Drosophila melanogaster: one gene and its partners. The protein of the gene in region 3 interacts with the protein of the main gene of each other region in a biochemical or structural test. Each region holds a gene or a part of one and is shown on either strand. Other genes may lie near its edges.

Region 1 (4,766 bases), on a different chromosome or scaffold from region 3:
TTGGAGCGCATCTCAAAGCTGGAGGATCGCGTGAAGGTACTTAAGGGCGAGAACGTCGACCTGGCTAGCATCGTGAAGAACCTCAAGGACCATGTGGCGCAGCTGAAGCAGCAGGTGATGGAGCACATTGCCGCGGGCTGCACGGTGCCGCCGAACTCGACAGACCAATAACATTTGGAGTTGTCAGCCGGGGAGAATGATGAGGAGGACGTGGCACTGGAGACTGAAACCCCCTCGAATCCTGAAGATCCCGAGCAACCCATGCCTCTGGAATTCTTTTCAAGTGCTAGCACCGGTGCCTTGGAGCTGGAGGGCTCGGCCTCTCAGGATATTTCCCTAACTAACAGCGAACTCCTGGAGGAGGAGAGCGATAACGAACAGCCTCTGGTGCTCTACATCCTCGCGGACGACGCAACCTGAGGCTTTGTGCCTTTCTTTGGTTTTAGCTGCAATATCTGAAATGCTTCTTAAGTGTTTTGTTTACTTAGTTATTAGTATAAGCTAGTGTTAATCAAGTATTATCTGTGTTGAACGTAAGATAATATGTAATGTACTTTTAAAATATACGTATATTTTCTGCACTTGATATATACATAAAAAAATTATTTCTACGCCTTAAACTTATTTATTCATCATCCTCCTCTTCGTCATCATCGTCGTCGTTGTCATCCATGGCCTCGGCCTCGGCCTCCTCTTCCATTGCGCTATCAGCCTGTTCCTCGTCGTTCACATCATCCTCGACATGCAGCTGGAAGCCTTCGCTTTTTGTCCACGAGCACTTCATGGTCAGCCGAAATTTGGCCATGGGCTTGCCCACCAGCTTGAGGATTCTCGCCTGTTCGGGTGTTAGAACTTTGCCCTCCTCACAAACCGTGTAGTCACTGTACAGCGTAACGATTCCCTTCTCCAATTTGGTGGGCAGGCCCAGGGAACGCAGATGCGGTTCCATAGAGTGGGCGAAGTCCTCTAGGGGACCTGCTGGCAGGGTAACCGTTTCCGTGGCCACAAAGCCACTGCGTGCGTATTCCACGGCCCAGTAGTTTTCTGCCCACTCCAGGACTTCCTCCTTGGATTTGTCCGTGAAAAGCAGTCCCACCTGGCCAGTTAATCGCTTGGATAGCTAATAGACATAGCCTGTGATTAGTGTCTGATATATGTTAATCCACTTAAACTTAATTACCTTGTGCAATTCCGGCTCCACTTCCTCGCTCTTCGTGCGACCCAAGCCAATCTGCATAACACGATTCTTGCCAAAGATAAAACGAGAATTCTTTTTCAACTCCTGTCGCAGATCCTTCAGCAAGCTATTCCTCATGTTCTGAACTTGGAAAACGAATATATTTGGGTATTTGCCCACGCAGAACCGAATGTCGTCCACAATGCGCTGTTTCCAAGCCAGACCCTTGCGGTCGGTTTTGGTCAGGGAAACTAAGGGAAGAAGAGTATCGCACGTTATAAGTACAAATCGTATATATTAAAGCCGAAACTCTCACCTTTCTTATCACGTTTGGAGCGCGGCATATCTGTAGCCTTTAAATAGCAACGTTTTCTTAACAGAAACCAAGAATATTTCCCACCGAACGTAAACACGTGCGGCCTTCTAGAGATGGTAAATGTTCCTAACCAACAATCGATAGCTCTATCGTGTATCGGAATTTCGCACCGTGCGGGTTGGAAAATTCCTGCGGGCCAATCCCTACTTCAGCTTTCCTCGTTTTCCAACACATCTGCGCGTAGAGAAGAAGAAGAACCTTCACGTCCGAGCCGTAAGAGGTGAATTAACTAATTAATAAGTGCTTGCTCGTTTAAAACTAAGTTAAAAGTCGTGTGCTGAGAGCCCAAGGATTACGCATATATTCGATATTCGCTTGAAAACCCAGGCGCAGTAAGTAGTTTCACCTAGTGCGTCGTGTGTCGGCTTGCGACCGCCATATTGTCGGCGGATAAAATTTTCCCCGAATAAGTGCGCCCACGCACTTTATCGATTCCGTTGGCCTCCTAATTGGATGCCACCTGCCCCTTGGGCTCTCCGCATTTGATTGCGTGCGGTACTGGCCTTGCGAAAATCCCATTACAATTGGAAATGGACGTAGCAATTTTTCATTACCGCAACCAAATAGGACGCCGATGACGTAATTTTTTCCGTCTTGTTCTTTGTGAGCTGTAGTAAAATGTAGAGATGAGCGCGTGAGCATGTCTTCGCCACGCACGAGTTGAATTGCAATACACTTACACGATTATTTAGAAAATTCCTCGTACACCTAATTACCGTTTTTTTTTTTTAATGACTTGAACATTATGCTTAATGTAATACAAAAACATCATAGAATATTAAATATATTTTCTTATTGTATAATTAACAATAGAAGAAGACTCAAAAGAATATACTCTAATTTTGTCGAATTATCCCATATTGACAGGACTAAGTATAATTAGAACTAGAAATTGATTGTTAAATCCTCGCCTTAACTTCCGGCCCACAATCGTAGGCCCTGCCTCACCTCACGAAAATCATAAGTACGTGGATATCTCGTTTTTATGTGTGAGTGCACCAATTCAATGAAATCCAAATTAGAATTAAGGCAATTTACCGCCACCCCCTTATCAATGGCATACATCTCCCGATTAGTTTCCTCCTTGCGGAGGCCATAAAGTCAAGATAAAAGCGTAATCTGGCAGCGAGATAAGCGCTCGAAAGTTTCAACAGGTTGGAAACGAACTATAAACTATTACTTCATAAAACGATGATAACACAAAGACTTGACAATAAAAGCTGGCTCATTTTAAAGCTCTCTATCTACAAGTTCTGAGACGCCTATTAATTAGTATATTTTATCTGAAAGTTTGGTTTCCAAGTTTTACCTGCACACCTGGCAACATTAATTTATACAGCAGGTTGGCAACCCTGAAACTCTCTCACTTGTCGCACTTTCTCGCTCTCGCCTGAGCCAGCCCCATATGCTCCCTCTCATTCTGCGGCGGCGCATGTGCCCCTGCTAGAGTGTGCGTGGGGAGAGAGCGCAGAAACACAGATACAGCGGCGCGGCGAATGTGTGCAACCTTTGCCGTCCGTCATTCTCATTCGTTCGTTGGTAGTGTTCGTTGTCGTTTCAGTTTCAGTTAATCGAGAATGTAAGTAACATTTTTGCTGGCCCAGAGTGCCTTGTACCTATGTGTGTGCGCCTGCCAGTGTGTGTATGGAATTATAAAACGTAAAATTGCTAAAATATCCGAAGAAAAAACACGTGTAATGCCGCCTATGAGCAATCACTTACATGCATCTATACTTCGTCCCGCAGAAAAATCGAAATACATAAATCAGACATCGATCCGAAGCCAAAAAAAAAAAATCTACGCAAAAGAATAAAGTGTAAATTTGTGCAAAATAAGGAAAAGAAAAGAAAATGAAAGAAAAGAACATTCCCGAGTTGCCCGAGTATTGGTGCATGTATGTGATGCGGTGAGATTCGCTTGTAGCTTCGTATTTCTCATCATCATCAGCAGTTCATCGGTTAAGTTGTAGGCGGCGGACATAGCCGACTTCTATATTTACGCTTATATAGCCAGCTATATGTACACACAGTACGCCAAGATAGATATATATATATATATATCCAAGTTGATACTTGGATGGGGACACGCGGTTAGGTGGGTTTCCTCGCCAAACTCAACACACTTGGCGGCCGCCTGTGGTAGATACATTTCGGCCTCTCTCTGCGGCGTTCTCCGCTCTCTCCCTCCCTCCCACCTCGCTCCTCCTTTCTCCCGATTATTTTTATAATTTTGTAGCGCCGCACTTGGAAACACGATTGGCGGCCCCACCAACACCATCTCACCCATCCGCACCACCATTACCACCACCACCCAGAACGCACCGACACACGCAGAGTCGCACGCACACAGCCCCAATAAAAGTTAGTAACTTTTTCGCCCCATGTAGAGCCGCAGTAGCGGTATCTACAGTGTAGAGGAATTTCTACATCATCGGGGATTGGGTTCTTGCTCGGCTCGGTCTCGGGGGGTTTGGGGGGGGGGGGGGGGTTCTTGAGCTACTGCGCATGCTGTCGGCCGGCGCAGATAAGGTTTAAAGTACCAAGTATCCATCCGACACGGATTTCGCAGGATTTTCTAGCCCCGAAATTAGCCTGACCATATGGGTGTTAAACCGTCCTCTAAGGTCTACGTATCTATAACTTCGAGATACCCACCTCCCACCTGTTTTTCCCCCTATTTACCAATTTATTCATTCAGGCAGATGAGCAATCTGCGTGGTTGAAACAAGTTTTTCCTCCTTTGATTTATCCGATAAAAACTACAAACATATTTGTGACCATTTAGGGGAGTGTTACGTTAATTTACGTTACGCCTGGCTTAATGTTTTGGCATTTACCGAGCACAGGCAGAAAACATGCCAATTGACCTAAAAACGCGTCGGGAGACCGCACCGCACCCTCCCCCTTCCATATTTTTGCTACGCCACGCCCCGCCGCCCTTTTTGTTTTGACAAAGGGTCAATGCTTTTTCAATTTGGCGGTCGGTCGCAACACAAATAATAGCTGTTTTCATATGGTTTAAACTTCAATTGGTTGGTTTTTAGGCAACTGCGCAGAAATCAGCATTTATAATTGCTTCTGCCAATGTTACTGGGTCTTTGAAACTAGTTGTTAGCTTCAGTAAAGAACATTTGTATGGGGTTTCAAACATTTTGGAGACTATTTTTCACCTAACCATTTCAATGTAGCAACTATTCAGCGGTCGCTGCTAGC
Region 2 (4,788 bases), on a different chromosome or scaffold from region 3:
AGCAAAGAAAGAGCCCAAGGTGGCTTTGCACTGAGAATAAAATGATTTGCAGTGTATTCTTAGCATATGTATAAAAATTTATCAAGATAAATAAAATGGATGTTAAATTACTACATTTTAGTAAATTTACTTTTCTTTTTAATACTCCTAAGGGAGCAACTATACAATTTTGTCATAAAATGTTCGAAGCAGTCTAAAATTAATATAAATATTGTAGTTAAATTTTTCTCTCTGTATGGAAAAATTAAAAAAGGGCCGAAGATCGGCGGATAAAAGCAAAGAAAGAGCCCAAGGTGGCTTTGCACTGAGAATAAAATGATTTGCAGTGTATTCTTAGCATATGTATAAAAATTTATCAAGATAAATAAAATGGATGTTAAATTACTACATTTTAGTAAATTTACTTTTCTTTTTAATACTCCTAAGGGAGCAACTATACAATTTTGTCATAAAATGTTCGAAGCAGTCTAAAATTAATATAAATATTGTAGTTACATTTTTCTCTCTGTATGGAAAAATTAAAAAAGGGCCGAAGATGACAGCAAAGACTTTTCACTTTCCTCTGACGTTTCGCGGATCGCTGGTGGCGCATAAAAATTCAATTAAAGACGGCGGCGGCTGGCCAAAGGACGTGAACACAAGGCGAGTGTGCCGTCATAAATTCCATGCCGATAACGCGGCGTATGCGCAATGTCGAGCAATTTGTTCTGAGTTGCCAGTTGCGAGGTGAACCCCAAGCAATCATCGTCAGGCGAGCAATTTACAATGTTTGCCGTGTTCCTCAGATAGCAGCATCGCATCCACCGCTGCATTCGCTCGCTGACACTGATAATTCAGTTGGCGATGTAACACCTCCACCACCCACCACTGCCCCCAAGACAATCAACCACCCAGCCACCCACTCTCGAACAAATTGTTGACCTATATTTGGGCATCAATGAAACGCGAGCAGATGTGGCGAACAGTTGGCGAAGGGGGAAACAACAACTGCACCGCGTTTTCAATGCTGTTGAGTAAGTTGAGTAAAAGCTTCTGGTAGCCGCTTTGCTGGAGAAAAGCTGTGTAGCAATCACTCTTTCCTCATCGGTGCTTTGTCAAAGCTTTGCGACTGGAATGAAAAGCTCCCACACTCTCCCAAACAAATTAGTTACTTTTTCCAAAGATAAGGATATTCGCGGCTATAAATTTGTTAACAACGATTTTCACATGCGTGAGTTGTTTCAATTAAAGCAAAATTAATAAAGAAAAGTTAAAACGGAAAAAGAGTTAAGCCCTAAAATGTTGTTCTTTAATATAAGACAGAAACTGAATTATTCTGTTTTTGCCTGCTTTAATAAGTCCTATTGAATTTCTACATCACTTACCATATCATTTTTAAATTTCAATGAAATATTAAAAACTACAACATACATATACGGGTAATAAGAATGGGCCACTTAAACAGCTGACTTCCATGAAACCGTTATCCAGAAGATACTATCAGATACTGGCGACCGTCGAAGCTCCTGCTCCTGGAAGGGGTAATCAGCTGGACAAATCCAGAGAGAGCGAGAACGGAACAAGTGACAGTGGAACAGGCAAATCAACCGAAAAGGGAAAAGGGTGTCAATGGAAGACCACAAATGGAACTTTTTGGACACTTTCTCTCTGTCTCTCGGTTTTCCACTCTCTTTTAGGAGGAAATAAAGGCGGCAAGCGGCTGGCAGCTTTTCAATCCAGTTCGAGTCAGCCAGCGGAGTGGACGTCTCTATTTCTCAGTGTAATTCCCAACCGATTCTCTGCCGCGTCGCGAATAAAACGGTAGTTTTAAATTAAAATTTTAACAAATTTACACTTAATTTAGAAAACTAAGTCAGATTATTGAATACACAAAATTTGATGATGTATATTGACTATTCGCACACGACCGTCATTGCGAATGCCATCAATTATTTAAGGCATTTATTTTGATTCAGTTTCCTTGTGCTTTTGTTTGCTGGTTGTCCCACAAAAACAGAAATTGTTTGCCCTCCAGGAGCAACAAAAACAACTGTGAGCGGAGAGTGCAGAGAGCCGATGGACACCGAAAAATCCGAATAGGAAACATACCGAAGTCCAAAAGCACCGAGCACCAAACACACGGAAATTCAGTCGCGTAAGGGCATCGCATCAGTCCACACCGCATCGGATCTTCGAGATACATTCGCATCTGTAAGATACAACCGCATTTTTGGGATACTCTCGCGAGTGAAAATTTTTTCGGCAATAAGTCAATTAAAAACCCGAATCTCAAACCATCAATAAATCAGATAATCAAATACCGGAAAATAGGCAAGCAGGAAAGAGGAACTCTAAATCAAGCTCAAAGCTCTTCTCACCTTTTCCTGGTTACAGGTGAGTTCAGTGGCTGACACTTGGGGGAGGTGGTGGCCTTTTATGACCTATTTGAAATCTGAAGGGCTGTAAATGCAATTATTCGCCAGCCACAATGCGTATCTATGCGTTTGTTAAAGTAATTTAGAAGTAATTGAGAATTCTGTGGAATCTAATACATTTTGACTTAATGAGATAATGGGTAACTGGATGCCGAATTGGCTAACTGGAATTCTATATCCGTATAAAGACCGGTTTCCAGCATAAAGCAGGATTCATTAACCCCTTAGAAGGTCAAATACTTTTTCTTAAAACTCTCCACAACTTTATTTCAATTCCGAATGCAATTTGCTAGCGAGTCTGTGCGTTTCTCGTTTTGTACAGCTGCATGGACGTCATGGGGGGATTATGGAAGCATATTACGCATACGCCCCATCCGCCAAAAGCAAGTGCAATTGGAGATGATGATTGTCAACGTTCAATGGAGCATCCATTGCCATTTCTTTTTCCAGTTCCCCATGCGGTAATTGCAGCGCCAACTGCACGAACTATTCCTAATGAGACAGTTAAATCGCAATCGTAAAGCTAGAGTCCCGTACTCATTTATCCATCTGCGTCTACCCCTTCTCAGATTTTGGTGAAGAGAACCCTTGAGGAACGCGCTCGGTTTCCTTTGAATGCCGCTGCGTTTCTTTCTCAATCTCAATTGGAATGCATTGTGCCCAAGGACATCTGCAGAAGCAAAGGAGCAGAAAAATGGTCTTCTAGGTGGTTCGAAGGGAGGCCTTTTGCTTTAGCGGTACATTACTCAGTTTACTGCCGGATTATAGCCTTAAGCCGTTCGGAAGTTTCTCAAGGGGTTGGGATACTAAACGAGCAGACAGCTAATGTCCGTCCCTCCACATTTTACGAGAGAAAAAGCGGAGACAGAGCAGTAGGATTTCCCAAAATAGACAATTTTCTTTTTTTTTTTTTGACTCTCTCTCACTGGAGAGTAGGGAACCCAAACGGAATCAGTGAAAGTGGCATCGACAAATTCGATTTGGTTACTGCCTGGTAATAGACCCTAGGAATATTTATTGGAATGCAATAACCACTTTTTCTGGATATTTTAAAATGTTGGGATAAAAATAGCTAATTATATCCAATCCATAAAAAAAAAATCAAAAGTTAATGAATATTACTTTCAACATAAAGATACCCAAGTGAAAAGATTTCTTTCTTCTCTGGCAATTGTTGTCCCGTGTTAATCTAATAGAAAACGATTTGTTTTGTTGACATTTTTCTTTTAACGTTTCCCCAATTTTATTGTGTTTGTGCAAACATTTTTATTTGATTCCGACTTTTGCTTCTTCTTGTCTCCGTTTTTCCATTTTCAGTGATTTGATTTTCATGTTAACTTAGATCACTCGACTGAATCGATTTTCCTGCGGGCGGAGATAACATTTAAGTGCGCCCAAGTGTCGCCTACAATATTTCCGAAATTTATGCTAATTATGCAAACGCCTCTGTACAAACAGCAAACGCTGCGTATGCGTAATACTTTTGGCCATATTTTGCTTTGTTTTGACAAAGACAACAAAGGTCATGGGATGTGAGGGTACCAGGCGTCGAGATTTCTTGGCGGTGATTCTAAAAATAGACAATTGAGTGAATCATGGATTCACTAAAGAAAAAAGTATTTTGTTAGGACTCACATGAGTTGCTGGATAAAGTCTTGATTCGAAAGGGCTTGATTTGACAGGGCAGTCATTACTCAGGACAGACAATAAACCATCTAAACCCCTCTCTTCGTTGAACACCCTCTGAATTTCTAGAGAACGTTTTCGTATCGACGAAATCTTATATATCTTCGCTGATTTATGCGTTCTATTCCAGCGAAAATGTTTATTCTGAGCCCTTTTTTGGAGTGCCAGAGAATTAGTTCATCCTGCCATGTTGGCCACGCCCCATCGCTCACCCCGCCCCTTTGACCAGGATTTGTTTTGTGTGTTGCTTTCAATTTGTTTGTTTATTTCACTTTTCGAAAAAGGTCAAAGTTAGCCACATTTTGTTTCGCATTCGCTTTGGGCCTTCACCCATATGTGTTTGTGTGGCTCAGAGGGGCGTTTTGGGTGGGCGTGGCTTTTGAAATTTCGTTTATGTGCTTTTCTGACATTCATTAAAAGTCCAGCGAGCGACGAAAACTTTGAAGAGATTATCGACTAGGGCAGTCATAATATTTATGGGCTCGCGGGAAAGGTCAGGGATTGACCTTTACCTACCCCAAAAAAGTACTTTCATTGTTGTCCCAATTTAACAAACGACACTAACACTTGATCTGCGATAAGAAAATTGAAATCAAAGGCAACCCCACAAAGGAAAACCTGGGGGAAATATTCTGGTAGACGGGGTTTGACATTTTACAAATGCCAGCAATAAAATTAACTTAAATAA
Region 3 (5,050 bases):
TACTAAGTACTGATAAGATTATGTACATTATATATATTTACAACAAATTTTACAAATATCTCTCGATTACATTATCGTTTTACACCAAGTTGTACACTTAATTAACAGAAATAAGGCTTACATTTTAATGATATATATAATATAATGAGCTCGCTCCTTTGGATTCAAAACAAAGTGATAAGCTATTGGATTAAAGATCACTGCCTTTTATATGTTCGAAGTAGAGCAAAATGTGATAAGAGTAGCAGCGTCTAGCACTGCGAACTATCGCTGGAAAAATGACTGATTGATTGATGATTGATTGATTGACGAGCTGGAGAGATAGGTTAATCCCAGTAGTCCGTATACAGATCATTGCAGAGCCGCTAACGTGACTTCTACAATTTCAGATGGTCTTTCACAAGCGAGGCGTACGAATATGTATCTGTGGATTTATCACGTACGACATCAAGGGCTTTACCTTTGGCGTGATGGGCGGATAGAACGGTGGCAGTTCGTGGCAATTGGGGCACCAGCTGGCCATGTTCGTTCCGGTTTCGGTCCGGGCGGACCGCTTGCTGATGTGGTGTTGATGGTCTTTCTGGATTTCGAAGTGGATCTTGCGGCTGCTACGGCTTTCCCCTCGCTATCCGTTCTCATATTCGGGTTTCTATGCGGCACAGTGTATGGATGTTGTGGTGGTGGTGCAATCGAATTGGGATTTGGAACAGTGTTTTTTGGGCGAATGGATGAAGGACTGGGAGTACTCACCTAGTACTGGCTAAACCACCGAGGCAGGGCTCCAGGGCTGCCAACATTCACACGCTCAAATCGCACATCAATGTGTTTGGACGATTTGTGGTCGCTGCGGCTCGCCAATGTTGCACGTGGAAATTCTTGGGCTGGCTGGCTGGATTTTCCTCACTGGCTGATGGATTGCGGCTTGCTGATTATTTCATAATTGCATTTCGGATCCGTGGATGAGTTTCATTGTGTTATCAGCTGCGTTAAGCTTATCAGTTTCATTGTGCGTTTTGGTTTGTTTGCTTCTTTCTTTGCCGTCTTGATCAATAGTTGTTCGTTCTTTTGAATTTGAATTGGAATTTGGTTAAATTAGAAACTGCGCTTAGTCACACTGCTCATGTTTCCTTTCACAACTTATTTAGCTTTGTTTGCCCACGAAATTTTTCCTTGTGTGTTAAGCTGCAAGAGATTTATTAAGTTGAGCGATAATTTAAATACTTTTTAATTTGCCAAGGCAGCGCGACGAACGCGGTAATTAATTATATTTTTTAGTTAGGCTGTCAGCGTTATTTGCGTTTTTAATTTTTTTACGACCGCAGACATTTGTCAATGATATTACGTATATATTTGTATTCGTATATATATTCTATTAAATTAATATTATTTTAGACATTGTATCACCATTTTCCGTAGCCGGAAAAGCAAGCGTGTCAAGTAAATAAATAAATAAAGATGCGAAGCAGACTTGAAAGCAAAATCAGCACTATTCTCGCCGTTTTTAAATTCTCAGTTCTCGGAGAATTCTCTGAGAATTTCTCTCAATTTCTCACAATTGCTGCTGGCGTATTGGCGGCTGCGCGATGCAGGGAATCCGAAAATTGTCGGGCAGAAAGCTTTTTCCTTGCCTGCGAAAGTCGCACATTTTGGTTAAGCATACGCAATGTGGTACCAAAAACTAGAATTTTTGGCAATATACAACATGCTTTACAATTATCACTTTCGTTTGCATGTTATTTGTATATGATACATTTAATGTCAAACTTGTCATTGGTAACTTTTTAAGTTATTCATTTCCTGCCCGATTAGCGAGGCTTTGCTGTCCTGCGGACGGACTCGTTCTTTCGCCTGCGGCATGTCGTTGAAACGGAAACACACTGCCCTAGTTTTTAGTTCCCCTTCGTGTCACACACACACACTCGCACACCCGCAGGACACACACTTTCATGCGCTTAACGAGCTGCCTAATGTGCCTGCAAACAATGGAAACGGGACAAATGCCGAGTCAAATGAAAGTTGCATTTTCATAATAAATAAGCAGGCGACACAATTTCCCACGGCACGCCAACGGGCGGAAAATACAGGGGGCTTGGAAAATGGGCATTCGTGAGCCAATGTAAACAGAGCTTAGTCCTTCGTCCTGGCCGCGCATTGAACTCGCCTGGATTTGGTGGCTTCATTTGTAGGTATCTGGGTATCTGCGTATCCTGGCGCACGCACACACACACCCACGCTCGGCCAGTGACTGACTGACACACATATACCAAGGTATCCTGCGACACACGAAGGACGACGAGTAGGAAGCAACAAAAATAACATTGACGATGACAGCAGCGGCAAAGGCAGGGGAACGATACAAGTGTATCTCCGGCCTGGAACATCGACTTTATCATCGGGTCGGGTCCCTTCGTCCTTTCGTTTTGGGGAACTTGTGGTGTGCTCGTTTTAAAAACGAACGAAAAACTGTGCCGTATGCGCATGTGTGTGTGTCCGTGTGTGTTGACTTCAACAAATGTATCTTTTAAATGAAAACCTGCAGCAGTGCCAAAAAAAAAAGCGAAAAACTGTATTTCTAAAGAGTTTTCCTTTAGTGTTGCTCGTTGGTCCACTTCTTAGCTCCTTTATGTATGCAACACTTTTTTCGCAATCACAATCGCCGTTTTATGGGCGAACACACACACACACACTCGGTCACTAATTAATTGAATTTCCTGCGTTGTAAGTGTGTGTGTGGCACATTTTCACGTTCACTGAGCCCGTTTTCAACGGATACCGAATTTTGCACAATTGCCGTTCCGCAAATGGCCACGATAATTGCCCGGATTTTAAGACGTTTTTTGCTCAATTTTCCCCGTAATTGGCAAACGCAGCTTGAAAATTTTTCACATTTCCAAGTGCTGCAGCTGTGTGTGTGTGTATGGGTCCCGTGAATATACATATACGCGATAGGCACTTTTCCACACAGTCCACTCACTCACACACCCAGAATAAAAGACGCGACGCGCTCAAACGCGAGGACCAACCTTTCTCGTCAGCAGCGTATACAATTCTGCGCGATGTCGACTCCGACGACATGGAAATCGGTGGCCCAATGTACTTCCGCACGGCCCAAGCTCGTCTTTGGGAGCTTTTCGGAGTCCTGCGGTTGGTGCGGGCTGGACGCTTCGTTCGATTCATCAAAACTGGCGCCAAAACCCATTCACTATGAATGACCCAGTGCCGCGGTGATGGTGATGATGATGGTAATGGTGCCGATGCAGGTGCAAGTGAACTTCCGCACGATGCACACGTGGCGTATGAGGAATGTCGGAAGAAATTCATTGCATACTTTTGGGACGGGTGCACAAATGCATGTTAAATGAGATAAAATAATGGCAAATAAAAGTACTATGCATTTGTATTCTTGTATCAATGCTTAAATTAAGTATTATCAATTGCACTATATTTTATTTAACTTTACATAATTTAACAATAAATATTCTAAAACCATTGTTTCGATTATAAGATATTATGTTAGCTGTAGTTACCAAAATAAGTATAACAATAAATGCTATTTATTTTATAAAATATTTATCCCTTCCTTTATTTGATTTTATTTTCTGCAGAATTGTCAATTCAAAACTCTTCAATCGCATATAACATCGATTGCAAGCTCAGCGATTTTGGATTTGAGCTTATCGATAGCTTCAACGATAGTTATGTCACCTGGGTTTATTTTGGTCTGAACGATCGAAGCCGGCATAGATTTTTTCGTCTGCAAACCAGAACTAGTCTGAATCCTCTAAGGGATTCGGGAGCAACGAGAAGCAGCAGAAGGACCATGACGACGGCCGTGCTGGGAGGCGGATTGAGTGGACTATCCGCCGGATACTACCTGTTGCGGCGATTCGGGAAGCCGCTGACCATCTACGAGGCCTCGCCCCGTGTGGGCGGATGGGTGCGGTCGGAGAATCGCAAGGATCGCAACTTCATCTTCGAGAGCGGACCGCGAACCATACGCCCAGTTGGTGAGCCAGGTGCCAATACGCTAGAATTGGTGGAGGATCTGAAGCTGGAGGTGACTCCCATTCGACGCAGTCATGTCGCAGCACGCAACCGAATGCTGTATGCCAAGGGACAGCTCTGCATGCTGCCCAACAGTCCCAAGGGTCTCTTCGGCGTCCTGCCTCCCTTCACGAAGCCGCTATACAAAGCGGTTCTTCGCGATCTGTTCACAGCAAGCAAGAAAGCGAAGCTGGAGGATGAGAGCATCTACAGTTTCGCTGAGCGGCGGTTTGGTAAGGAGATAGCCGACTACGCCATCAGTCCCATGATCTGCGGTATTTGCGCCGGTGACGCGCGAGAAATAAGTGTGCGCTTCCTGATGGAGGGGCTCTTTGAAAAGGAACAGAAGTACGGAGGAGTGCTCAAGGGCACACTCATTTCCCGCTTTGAGAAGAACAAGACCAAGGACACCAAGGATGGACTATTTGCCGAAAGACAGCCCAAGCTGTATGCGCAGGCGGTAAAGGAGAAGTGGGCCATGTACGGGCTGAAAGGCGGTCTGGAGAACCTACCCAAAACTATGCGAAAGTACTTAGGTGAGCGGGATGTGAACGTGCAGCTAAGCAACGAATGCCGGAACCTGACCTTCAGCAGCTCCGGGGTTCGAATGAACATCAAGGATGCCGAAGTTCCGGTGGAGCATGTGGTCAGCTCCCTGCCCGCCTACAAACTCGCGCCCCTGGTAAAGCAGCAGCATCCCTCGCTGAGCGCCCAACTTTTGAGCATTCCGTACGTGGATGTGCTGGTAGTGAACATGCAGTTCCCCGGCAAGCTACTCAAACAAGACGGCTTTGGATTGCTAGTGCCGCCAGTGGAAAAGTTACCTCTGCTCGGCGTCATCTTCGACAGCTGCTGCTTCGACATGGGCGAGAACACTGTGCTTACCGTGATGATGGGTGGCCATTGGTTCGACCAGTGGTTCGGTGATCGTCCAAGCCCCAAGCAGATTCTTGACTTAGCCACCAGCCATGTGCAGAAAATGCTGCAGATACGCGAGGAACCCAAA

The links. Proteins that work in one complex are often made in the same cells at the same time.
Region 1: the proteins of slo (region 3) and 14-3-3zeta form a complex in vitro, tested with the Drosophila melanogaster proteins (one study listed by BioGRID).
Region 2: the proteins of slo (region 3) and Slob form a complex in vitro, tested with the Drosophila melanogaster proteins (one study listed by BioGRID).

What each region holds. Positions count from the first base shown.
Region 1 is NT_033778.4:10,097,966-10,102,731, forward strand, and holds the start of 14-3-3zeta (14-3-3zeta), read left to right. Parts: upstream 1-1,711; 5' UTR 1,712-1,773; exon of another isoform or gene 1,774-1,885; intron 1,886-3,070; exon of another isoform or gene 3,071-3,212; intron 3,213-4,766. Other genes in the region: Jra (Jun-related antigen), read left to right, coding at 1-171; RpLP0-like (ribosomal protein LP0-like), read right to left, coding at 626-1,120, 1,181-1,428, 1,494-1,521. UniProt on the Drosophila melanogaster protein: Required in Raf-dependent cell proliferation and photoreceptor differentiation during eye development. Acts upstream of Raf and downstream of Ras, and is essential for viability.
Region 2 is NT_033779.5:7,672,024-7,676,811, reverse strand, and holds the start of Slob (slowpoke binding protein), read left to right. Parts: upstream 1-1,733; 5' UTR 1,734-2,373; intron 2,374-4,788. UniProt on the Drosophila melanogaster protein: Regulator of calcium-activated channel Slo. Increases or decreases the voltage sensitivity of Slo, depending on the absence or presence of 14-3-3-zeta in the complex, respectively.
Region 3 is NT_033777.3:24,660,496-24,665,545, reverse strand, and holds the start of slo (slowpoke), read right to left. Parts: upstream 3,056-5,050; 5' UTR 2,983-3,055; intron 1,183-2,982; 5' UTR 751-1,182; intron 650-750; 5' UTR 461-649; exon of another isoform or gene 122-460; intron 1-121. Other genes in the region: Ppox (protoporphyrinogen oxidase), read left to right, coding at 3,821-5,050. UniProt on the Drosophila melanogaster protein: Potassium channel activated by both membrane depolarization or increase in cytosolic Ca(2+) that mediates export of K(+). Its activation dampens the excitatory events that elevate the cytosolic Ca(2+) concentration and/or depolarize the cell membrane.